2 linked regions of the Styela clava genome follow. The protein of the gene in region 2 purifies or fractionates together with the protein of the main gene of each other region. This does not show direct contact. Links are inferred from orthologs where the notes say so. Each region holds a gene or a part of one and is shown on either strand. Other genes may lie near its edges.

The links. Proteins that work in one complex are often made in the same cells at the same time.
Region 1: the proteins of coiled-coil domain-containing protein 97-like (region 2) and splicing factor 3B subunit 5-like purify together in Homo sapiens (affinity purification with mass spectrometry; 3 studies listed by BioGRID and IntAct, counting the BioPlex papers as one, with this or other methods). This does not show direct contact. The link is inferred for Styela clava from reciprocal best matches to the Homo sapiens genes CCDC97 and SF3B5.

Annotation. Positions count from the first base shown.
Region 1 is NC_135262.1:19,157,132-19,162,987, forward strand, and holds splicing factor 3B subunit 5-like, read right to left. Parts: upstream 3,325-5,856; 5' UTR 3,238-3,324; coding exon 2,977-3,237; 3' UTR 2,210-2,976; downstream 1-2,209. Other genes in the region: SUMO-activating enzyme subunit 1-like, read right to left, coding at 1,122-2,162; derlin-1-like, read left to right, coding at 3,542-3,600, 4,191-4,290, 4,383-4,494, 4,794-4,858, 5,332-5,358, 5,536-5,631. UniProt on the Homo sapiens protein: Component of the 17S U2 SnRNP complex of the spliceosome, a large ribonucleoprotein complex that removes introns from transcribed pre-mRNAs.
Region 2 is NC_135257.1:17,903,701-17,910,120, reverse strand, and holds the start of coiled-coil domain-containing protein 97-like, read right to left. Parts: upstream 3,226-6,420; 5' UTR 3,139-3,225; coding exon 3,087-3,138; intron 2,523-3,086; coding exon 2,120-2,522; intron 801-2,119; coding exon 628-800; intron 1-627. Other genes in the region: cytochrome b-c1 complex subunit 6, mitochondrial-like, read right to left, coding at 3,637-3,930. UniProt on the Homo sapiens protein: May play a role pre-mRNA splicing through the association with the splicing factor SF3B complex which is involved in branch-site recognition.

The DNA.
Region 1 (5,856 bases), on a different chromosome or scaffold from region 2:
AATTGTTTGTATATTTGTTCAAATTCAAGATGAAATCGTATTTTATTAACGTATGTATACATGTGTGTTGGAAATTTTATTCCGTTTGTTGGCCCAGTATGTATGAAAATCCTAAATATAATGCCATTAGAATGCTACAAGGTTTGTGGAGTCCAGAGCATACATAACAAGGATTGTCCAGGTACCTTAACGAGTTTTTTGACCGGTCAATAGACTAAACGATTAATGCAGGTAAGCTATATAGACCATGATTGGGTTATCTATTTTATATGTAAACGATGTCTCTTTTAAATTAGTTTTGAACTGGTTATAAATCAATTGATTTAGGGCAGTGGTGTGCAACCAAATTCGCCTACAATGAAAAAAAGTGTGCGGCCCACGATGGAGCGCTAATTTTTGATAATGTCCGGCCCATGAATTTTCAATTTAGTTAAATCTGGTTCGTGCCATTAATTTCAAACTCTTAGCGTTTTAAGCCTAAACCCGAGTCCAATTAATTTATCTATGGCACAACCATTTTCGTGTTTTAACTACTAGAAAGCCTTTGTTAATCAAAGGTACTCTACATACAGCCTGTGGTTTCACCCAGATATTTGTATCTGGCCCTCCTGTATGAATGAATGAAATTTAGAGTGTAAAAGCCCCCCTTTCAAATTAAAAAATGATTCTATTCCAAGATAACCCGCAATAGCTTAGTTGACATTCGAATGCACTCATTCGCTATTTTATTCTACTTTCTTCACTGTAATTACATCTTTCCAATCAATCAAATAATTTCAGTTTATTGCTTTGGTGTACAGTACAGCAGCTATTTTCTGATGACATTGAATATATATAACATGAAAAAAGAGCTTATTTGGTGTCATTTTCTCTTAGTTATCAGGCTAGGAAAAGGTTATTAAGAATACAAAAATACAAAGTAAAAAACCAGAAAAAAAAATCAAGCCATTCTGCCAACCAAGTGTAGTAGGGATGACTAGAAGAGAACAGATTAGGCACTTGTTCAATTCTGAACAAATGTCTGTGCCCAGCCCTTGTGCTAGTGCTAGTAATTTTAAATTCTATTGTTTTATGTAGTTGCATTTAAACTGCAGAATTATGCTAATGTGAGATTCCATCCGTTATTTAAAAGGTGGACAAATTTGATCTACTATGCCAGCATGACTACGACCATTGTAGAAAAAATAGTTATTATGTGGAGCATCTCGTTGTGATGCAGCTTTTATGATTTCTTGGCCCAATACCCCACCAGTTATCGCACAAATTGGATTCAGTTCGGAAATACAAAATTGAGGAAATTCTTCAGGAATGTAAGTTTCTGAAACATTTGAATCCTTGAGAACCTCATTTCTCAGTTCTAGGAGTAAATTTTGATCTTCTTTGCCGAATGTTGGACTTCGACCCGTCTTTTCCTTGAATTTGTCAATTACTTTAATGATAAAAAAAATATATGATGATTGTCGCATCATTCTCCTTGATCTTGTTGACCAATCCTCAGTTAAAGATTCTTCAAGGCTACAAAATTCATCTGTAACTTTTACAAGAATCTTTTCTTCTTCTTTTTTGCCCTTTTCATCTAGTTTGCTCTTTTTTGCTTCTGGTTCTCCATCAAGATCATACTTTATCTCTTTTTTCACTTCTTCACGCACAAAATCATGCATCCCCAAATCAGCAAAGCAATATCCATAAAATCCGAAAACATCACCACAAAAGAATTTGATTCCAGATGATCTGCATATTAAATTAATTCTTATCCTTTCTTCGAATGGTACCTCCGTTAAACAAACTATATCAAACTCTCGAAAAAAATCATCCGGTTTATCCGAAATTGGCATCTTATCGCATGATACGATTACATTTGGATTGAGCGGCTGTGTTCGGGCCATTGATGCTTCTGCTCTATTTTTTCCCATGTCTAAATGAGTTACAAGAAGCTGAGAACCCATATCAGACTCTGAAACTACTTTGTCATCAAGCATTGTCAAAGCCTTTACACCTGCAAGTACAACATTTTTGACCACCTCAGAAGCAAGTCCACCGATTCCAACAACAAGAACTTTAGCTTGACGAAGACGTTTTTGTGCATCAAGTCCCCACAATCGAATTTGGCGATCATATTGTGCAAACTCCTCGGCAGTAATATCAGCTTCTTTTTCCATCATTACAATGTTGAATATTTGATAGAATTAAGATTTTAAAAGATTACTACCTAAATAAAAAACATTTGCAGTACAATATCATGTTTCAAGAAATGAAGTCGAAGAAAAAATTGACATGAGCATGAATAATATATCGTTCGAATTAGGTGAGACAAGAGAAATGACAAAAATAAAGTTGTTTCAAAAAAAGTTTCCCTGCCTGATCGGGGCTACATTTTGATAAAATAACTCAAAATGAATTGTTTTTAAAGCTGTGCTTAGTGGAGTTGTACTGACAAGAATTACTGATTTGATTCAATCCATTTCAACAATTAAAACATGACAAATTTATAAAACAGGATGGCTTCAAAATTGAAAATTTCGAAACACATTCATCTATAAACGCAAGCCACGATGGATAGATAGCCACAATTATTTAACCTATTACAATAGAAAATATTAGGAACATATCTCTATTTGTAAATCATTTTAATTCTGTAATTATGGACCTACATTTATTAGCAGTTTGGATATGAAAAATAATACTTGATTGAATAAAATAGTTTAATTTCATATGGACTTCTTGTCTAGAGCTTTATTCATAGTGAAATCAAATTAATTTCATCAAGATAGTAATATCATTTCAAATTAAATACAAAGCATTGCAGTATTTCCTGTGAAATATTTCAGTTTTAAACTTCTCAAACAACTAAATATTAAAACTAGTAAGAACATGGCAGTTCATGCTTCATAACACTAGTCAATTTTGAGGTGGGTATGACATGTGTCTCAGATCTGCAGATGTCAGTTTCCAAGCGCTTTCCAATTAAATCACACTTCAATCAACATTTGGACGATCAGGAGGTGGTCCACAAGGTTGGAACATTCTTTCTAACACATTAAATCGAACTCGAGCTCTTGTTTCGTTTTCCGCAATAGCAATGTGACTTAGAAGATCCGGGTGACCAATGTAAGAAGCAAGACTATCACGATGTTGATTTGTCAACCATTCCCATTTTGTAGTGTCAGAGTGTCCAGTACCGACATATTTCGACTGCAAATGCTCCATTTGAGAAAATATATTATATCGATCCCCCATTTTGATTGATATTTTGTCTCTGTACACTCACGAAATACTTATTCTCACTACAAACAACCACCAAATGCCAAAAGAAACCCAAAGTACGGTAATCCTTCCTGGATCTGATCACAAGGTGGTGCACATGTGTCTGTCAATATATTTGTCAAGTCATACTACGTCATTATATCTACATTATTGTGCATAATTTGAGACACGTCTGCAAAGAAGAACTTGTTGTTTGCTGGTTTTTAAAGTTTTCATTGATATTTTGTCAGTTTGTCGTGAGTATTAGGTGTAGTTTTATAATAAGGGATATTCAAAGATGGCGTCTAATGATATTGGAGACTGGTATCGTGGAATACCGAGAATAACTCGTTATTGGTAAGTTACCGGTACGTAAATTTTTTTACCAACTGACTGTAGTTACACTCCAATCAGACAATACAGGTAGGCTACACAGGTACAGTTTACACACAGTCTTTGGGTCCAACAGTCAGGTATTCATTATATAGTACTGTGCCTATCTACCAGTACCTAGCTTCATACCTCATGTACTTCCAACATCGGCGCGGCGGTGTGGCTCAATGGGTTAAGCATTAGGAATACGCTCGCCACCGCACCTCTAATTACTCTGCGTGGGTTCGCATCCCATGCAGAGATGGTTATGTGCGAGAGGATTGCTGGACTCCTCGCCGTCGTTGGGTGGTTCACGTAACCGCTGGTCGGTTACGGCTTCCTCCACCACCAAGTCCATGCTTCCGAAAACAAACAATACAGTATAACTAACTAATCCCATACCCGACTTGGAATGGGACTCTCGTCTAACCGGACGAGAGGCCGTGGTTTGCCATATGGATAAGCCGTCTTATCGGCTTTCCTCTCCCCCGGGATAAATATGTAAATCCTATCCTATCCACTGTAGTACTGATGTTCTGTAATATACCATTATTTTACACACATTCTCTTTTCAGGTTCAGTGCATCAGTTGTAGTTCCACTTGTGGCCAAATTTAACATTATTAATGGAATGCATTTGATCTTGGATTGGTACAGTTTATTCAGTAGATTTCAGGTAATTTGTTATATATTTTAATACTAATTTTTGATGTATAGAAATGTTAAAATATTGACCATAATTATACTTTCTTTCACTCCTTGTTTCAGATATGGCGTCCATTCACTGCTGCTGTTTATTACCCAATAACACCGATGACTGGTTTTCATTATCTCATTATGTTATATTTTTTGTACAGTTATTCAACAAGACTTGAAACTGGTGATTAATTTTCTTACCTAATTTTTTATTACACATCATAATAATCCTTGTTCATCATCTCAATTGTTTTTAGCAGAGGTCACATTTTATATTGCTTTATAAATAATGTTTATTATGACTATTTCTTTTTGGTTCATCCTGGTATATCTTGGTATTACCATTTTGTCGTCTGCTACCAGAAATTATGAAATTAATATTTTAGTTTTATATTTTATCACATGGGAGAGGAAAGCCGATTGGATGACTTAATCACACACGCATTCTTTCTATATTTAATTCATTTATACATTTACATACAGGTATATTTGAAGGGAGACCTGCAGACTATGTTTTCATGCTTGCTTTCACATGGCTTACTACAGTGGTAGGAACTATTTTCATGAATGTAGCCTTGCTCTATACCTGATTGTAGTTGTTGAAATTATAGTAGTAGCCTAACCTTCTTACATTTCTCAAAGCATGAATCGTAAGTGATCTACTTGGCCAAGTATTGAATCACTTTTCGGTTCTGTTCAAATTTACCATATTTCTTATATTCGACAATCGCAATTTATGATGACTGAGTAGTCAATTTATTCTCAAAAAAAGTTGAAAATATCATGTTCCTTATTATTAGGATTTATGCATTCAAATTTTATTGATTATTCAATGTTTCTATGTTTTACATTTTTGGCTTTATTCATGAAAAATTTTAATACATATAAATTCTTGACTTTTTCATTCAAACTTGAAAATTATAATAACTTATTACATTTCATAGGAGCAAATTAAGCCATGCATTTTTTTCATTCTGCCCATCTGAATTAATTTAACCATACCTGTTTTTTTTTAATTCAGGGATTGGCATTGGCTCTGGAAATCAGGGTAAGTTAATTTAATTATGCTTTCATCATTTCAATATGCTTAAAATATCTAGAAGACTAAGACTCACATACTCAGTTTTGGAGTTCATCAAAGTAATCCAACATTATAATGTCACCAGTGCTGAGCATTTATAAGCACGTTAAAAATGATTTTCATTACTTATATATTTATTTTTAGATCATGTTTGATTTACTCATTTTCTCTGCTTTGTACGTTTGGTGTCAAATAAATCGCGATCAAATTGTATCATTCTGGTTTGGAACCAGGTTTAAGGTGAGTTTATTTGTAGAAATTTAGACAATTATAATTGTGTATTGAGTGTCTATTTCATGTTCTGTAAATTTATGATTTCATTCTGACTAAAGATTTTCACACTGTATTCACATAATTTGTACCACTTAAATGTAAATATGCCAATAATATTAAATTGTGCTGTTTGCCTCAAAGCGGCACCATTTTTATACTTGTGGGATAGAATTGCTAGGAGTACTGTAAAAA
Region 2 (6,420 bases):
AAAGTCATTCTATTGCATCGTTTCAGTGATGAACGAAGACCTAACCAAACCTAACCTAAACTCTGTGAACAGGTCAACCAATTTTGGGTCCAGTCAAACTCTCACAAATGTATTTCTGCAAGGTTTCATCCGAATGAGATCAGTACATTTGTGTTAGTACGAGGTAACTTTCTTGAATCAAATGAAATTCTTATTCATATTGAATACAATTATTATCAACTTTCCTCTCCTCCGGGATAAATATGCAAATCCTATCCCATCCTAATTTGAAGAAGTTTACCGCGGCGCTGTGGTGTGGCTCATCGTGCTAAGCGTTGGGAATACTCTCATCACCGCACCTCTAATTACTTTGCGTGGATTCACATGTTGGAATCCCATGCGTGAATAGTTATGTTCGAGAGGATTGGTTAACTCCTAGCCGCCGTAGGGTGATTCACGTAACCACTGGTCGGTAACGGCTTTCTCCACCATCAAGTCCATGCTTCCGAAAACAAATAACTAACTGATCCCATACCTGACTTTGACTGATAACAGGACGAGAGGCCGTGGTTCAAGATATGATTAAGTCATGTTACCATCTTCCTCTCCCTGGGATGAATATGTAATTCCTATCCTGAAGAAATTTACCTGGCACACGTTCCTCCTCTTCTTCACTGTCATCATCAAATTCCTCATCTTGATTCTCATCCTCTTTGTCCCATTTCTTCTCAATAACATCCATGAAGAATCCAGAAAGTGTGGTTGGATGGGCAGCAGCTCTTGCACTCATTCTTTCCTCTTTTTCTTCTGCCGATAGAAACCTAGTGAGAAAAGAAGATAGATGGAATGCCACACTAAAACTAAAGCTAAAGCTAATGTCATATTTTTCAGTTATGGACTTTTTTCGATATCTTGTGATTATAGGCCTGTTTTTTTTTTTGGGGGGGATTTCTGACAGAATATTGGTAAAGAAAGATGAGATAACCAAGTTTTATTACCTGTTTTAGTTTTGAATTCAGGGTATGCCGAATGTCAAATTTTAAGTTTGTACAGATCTGGAAATTGAAAAAAAAAAAATTTTCTCATAACTTTAAAATGTGATACAAGCTGTACTCGATTACAAATAGAGAAATATCTTTATCATTAAAAAAAATGGTATCAATGACCTCAAACGGTCCCCAAGCAGTGTTGTTAAACGGTATTGTATTATTAACCTAGTCAAAGTGCTAATAATTAGATTTCTGTGGGACCAACTACCGTAGTCATACCTCTACAATGATCTTGCACAGGTGGATCCGTAAGCATATAATGCAAGGAGGCCAAAGACAGAGAAAAAATATATTTGTGTTGCTTTGTTATGTACAGCAAGACTCTTGGATTACTTGGCTTAAAATAATTGTCAAAGTGCGACTGTATACATTTGTGTTAGAGTGTAACAGAACTTAACCTGCTACACTCCAAAGAAAATAACTTGCCATTGCCAGTATAAATTTGCTTTCATCACTTGAACATTTATCTTAAAGTTTATTCTATTCAATAAAAGGCAATCACACTATTGCACAGGGGTTCCTCCAGTCTCTGTAATGTTGCATTGGTGTTCTTCTCCACCAAAAAAGTTGAAAGCCACTGCAATATACCAGTGTTTCTCAACATATGGGTCGTGACCCGAAACTGGGTTGCCTAAAAAATTTCCTGGGTAGTTCGCTTTTTTCAATAAAAAACTGAAAGTTACTAATTTTATTTTATAGTAAATTTGATTGTTTATTGTAGATTTGGTATTTAAGTGTTTCTCAATAGTAATTGCATGCGTGGGCAGTATCACTGCATAAAATCTTGACATTCAATTTGCTTTAGTAAAGCCATGCATCGATTCCATGCTGATGACAAACACACACAGTTTCCTCACTTCAAAATAATTTTTGGAGGAATAGGTGTTATATCAAAATGATTGTTTCATGATAATATTCATTTAATTTTGGCCATAAAAGTACTGAACGTTTAGTATTTGAGCATATCCTTGGGCCGGAAGACCCAAAAATCTATTTATTCGAATACTTGCGTCACTTAAAAAAAAGTTTGAGAACCACTGCACTAGACAATATCACAGATTCAGGACTAATGAGCAATGAAATAAACAAACCTTCCTATGTAATGTTGATAAAGCTTCGGATTTCTTTTACTCATTTCTTCCTCATTAAAATATTCTCCTTCTTTAATCATTTGTTGCATAGCTTGATATCGACGATTTTTAACTTCATGTGAAATATAATGACTGTCAAGTTCTGTTCTTGCTTTTAGATCTTGTTTGTGACAAATCTGCCGGATGTAATAACAGACTTGCTCATTTTCTGGTAAAGAATTGAAGCAGGAAATTTCATTTGGCTTTATATGTTCATAGTATCTTTGCAAGAACCTCATGGGGCTTTGTTCGAAATGTTTTTGAAGTTCATCATATTTTTTCTCAGCAGTGAGAATTCCTTTGTCTTCAATCACCTCGGGAGTTGTTCCAACTTTCTTAATCGGTAAGAAAACTTCATCCAAACCTTGATAATAACAAAAGATAAAATCAATTTATTATATTTAAACAAATTATATCCCATGATAGCAATTCAAAAACTCTTATTTTTAAATTGGGGTTCAATTCATGATATTCATATAGTAAAAAAAAATTTATAATAAACTTCAATTAAACTTTTAATAGCAAAATAGCAATTTTTTTCAATAAAAAATATTCAGGTTTTCGAAGAGCGTATGACATTGGCATATATTATCGCAATGCTTGAAGCCAAAAGCCTATATTACATGTAATAAATGTTATTTCATCCTATTTTTTTGTTTAAGTTAAATCCTGTGCGACAAAGTGAGATCGCTCATGTAGTACTTTTATGTTTCGTGCTTAAACATCATTTGAAGTTTTGGCAATCTCTCTAAATCATTGGCTTGTTTGTTATCAATTTCTGCGGCATTGCGGTGTTCAAACTGGACTATTTAGCTATCTTTTGATGACACAAATACTCTGCAAACATTTTTCATATAGTAATATCTTAGAAATTCCATCAAAACACAATTGTTTAGACATTTCTGCTTGTGGAGTATGAATTACTCACCTGCTAGTCTTTTACATAAACATTCAATGCTATTTTTCTCATCCATGATCATCAAAATACATCCACAATTTAGGGCTTGATTTCAAGTCGAACCATCAAAATCACATCAGAATAAAATGAAAAATTTGCAGCACAAAATTCCTCAGAATTTCATGAGTGTTAAAGCTGCAAATATATCTATACTATAGACAGTCGCAGCCAGTCCTACAGTGTCTGGGTGTTGTGATAAACTAGTAAATAAAGAATCAACATTTAGTATTACGGCATTTGTCAGTTTGGATAAAGATTTTAACCTTTGAAACCATACAAACTAATTAAATTTAGCATTGAAAATTGAGCAATACAATCGCTGATAAATCACAAAACTTTATTCAAATATAGAAAACCAAATATAAATTAATTCTGAAATTCAGTAATTCTGTAATTGGTGATAACATTTTCAACAAATTTGCCACATACAGAATAATTAAATTTATAACTTGTTCTAAACTTTAATGCTAAACAAACAATACCAAAACACAGTTTCACACTTTTAAAGTTGGCCTAAAAGTTATTTCAGCATGGAAAACAATCTATCAGCCACGCAATGGTCTGCACAATGCAGAAAATCAAAAAGTTCTTGGACGCAATCTTCTTCCGTTTGACTCCGGCTATTCACTCGATCCTCGCATCGAACTAACTCTTCTCTATAGGGCGAGCACTCCGGAATGTTATTGCAAGTTTCCTTAACTGCGTCCATTGGGTCAACTAAGTCTTCCTCTTCTTCTTCGTCGTCGTCATCTTCCTCGTCTTCAGGATCTTCGGGATCGTCGTTGGCGTAAATTTTCTGTTCTTCAAGAGTCATTTTTGCAGTTTCTTGAAATTCAGTTCTAACGAAACGACGAAGTTTTAGTTCCGAGCAATGAACTCAAAAAAAAAATCGAACCAAACCAGCAATCAGAACGTTAAATCCAGACCAACGACCTCTGTGAAGCTAGCAGCAAAACACGAAATTGTTACTGACAGAATCGCAGAAAATACCCACGCGTAAAATTAAATGTTCCCAATGATTTTTATAAGAAAGTGTATATTTTGATTATTTTCACAATAGCAATTAAAGCAAAACAATCATTAACTACACTCCTCGTATTGTTAATATATGGTAAACAAGCTAAAGCGACTGTTACAGTGCACAAAATTTTTTTATAATTCTTTGAGAGATGTTTAAAAATGACTGAATTTTCGTCGTGTAACATGGTCGTTTCATGAAAACCTCCAATAAAGGCAGCATTGCAACACCATTGGTGAAAAGTAGAAACCTCAAAGATTCGATTTCAATATGTCAGAACAGTCTCAGCACGTTTTGACTTGACCATATATAATACTAAACATAGCGTATATTCTTCAATTTTTAAAACAATGTATATACAACAAATTTGAAACTGATTTTGTATTTCAATTAAAATTACTGGATAGTTCATCAAAGAAGATATTTTTCTCTTTGTCACACAACAATAATGCACTTCATTAAACTTAGAATAAGTTGAGTAAAGTCTGAAATACTGAAAAAAAATTTACGCCCTCTTGTGGATTGTTTAATAAATTTCACAAAGTTATCGTTTTCGAAAGGGCAGTTTCTCAAAAACCGCCAATAAATGCAGCACTACGACACATTCGAAGAAAAGCAGATACCCTATAGATTCGATTTTAATATGTCAGAACAGTAGCAGCACGTTTTGACTTGGCCAAATATAATTCCAAACATAGCGTATATTTTTAATTTCATTGAAAAAATGTAGATGTGACATATTTAAAAACGGTTTGGTATTTCAACTAAATTTACTGGAAAATTCATCAAATACTTTCTTCTCTTGGGTATACAACAAAACTGTACGTTTATTAAACTTGGAATTAGTGTGCAAATGTTAAAATGCCAAAAAATGATTTGACGCCCTCTTGTGGATCCTTTTCGGAATTTCGAAAAATTATCGTTTTTGAAAAGGGCGATTTCTCAAAAACCGCCAATAAAGGCAGCACTACGACACATTCGGAGTAAAGCAGATACCTAATAGATTTTATTTTATTATGTCAGAACAGTAGCAGCACGTTTTGACTTGGTCATATATAATACCAAACATAGCGTGTATTCAAACTTTTATAAACAATGCAGACGTAACATATTTAAAAACAGTTTGGTATTTCAAATAAATTTCCTAGATAATTTATCAAACATCTTTTTCTCTTGGACATACATATATACTATACGTTCATTAAACTTGGAATAAGTTGCGGAAAGTATAAAATACCAAAAAGCATTTTACGTCCTCTTGTGGATTTTTTTCAAAATTTCAAAAAATTATCGTAATTGAAATAGCGATTTCTCGGAAACCGCCAATAAAGGCAGCGCTACGACACATTTGGAGAGAAGCAGATACCTTATAGATTCGATTTTAATAAGTCAGAACAGTAGCAGCACGTTTTGAGTTGGCCATATATAATACCAAACATAGCGTATAATTTTTAATTTCATCAACCATGTATATGTAACATATTTAAAAAAGGTTAGGTATTTCAACTTAATTTACTGGATAATTCATCAAACACTTTTCTCTCTTGGTCATACATCAAAACTGTATGTTCATTAAACTTGGAATTATTGTGCAAATCCTATAATGCCAAAAAATGATTTGACGCCCTCTTGTGGATTATTTTCGTAATTTCGAAAAATTATCGTTTTTGAAAAAGCGATTTCTCAAAAACCGCCAATAAAGGCATCACTACGACACATTCGGAGTAAAGCAGATACCTTATAGATTTGATTTCATTATGTCAGAACAGTAGCAGCACGTTTTGACTTGGCCATATATAATACCAAACATAGCGTATATTCAAACTTTTATAAACAATGCAGACGTAACATATTTAAAAACGGTTTGATATTTCAACTAAATTTTCTAGATAATTTATCAAACATCTTTTTCTCTTTGACATACATATATACTATTCGTTCAATAAACTTGGGAAAAGTTACGGAAAGTATAAAATACCAAAAAGCATTTTACGTCCTCTTGTGGATTATTTTCAAAATTTCAAAAAATTATCGTTTTTGAAAAGGCGATTTCTCAAAAACCGCCAATAAAGGCATCACTACGACACATTCGGAGTAAAGCAGATACCTTATAGATTTGATTTCATTATGTCAGAACAGTAGCAGCACGTTTTGACTTGGTCATATATAATACCAAACATAGCGTGTATTTAAACTTTTATAAAAAATGCAGACGTAACATATTTAAAAACGGTTTGATATTTCAACTAAATTTTCTAGATAATTTATCAAACATCTTTTTCTCTT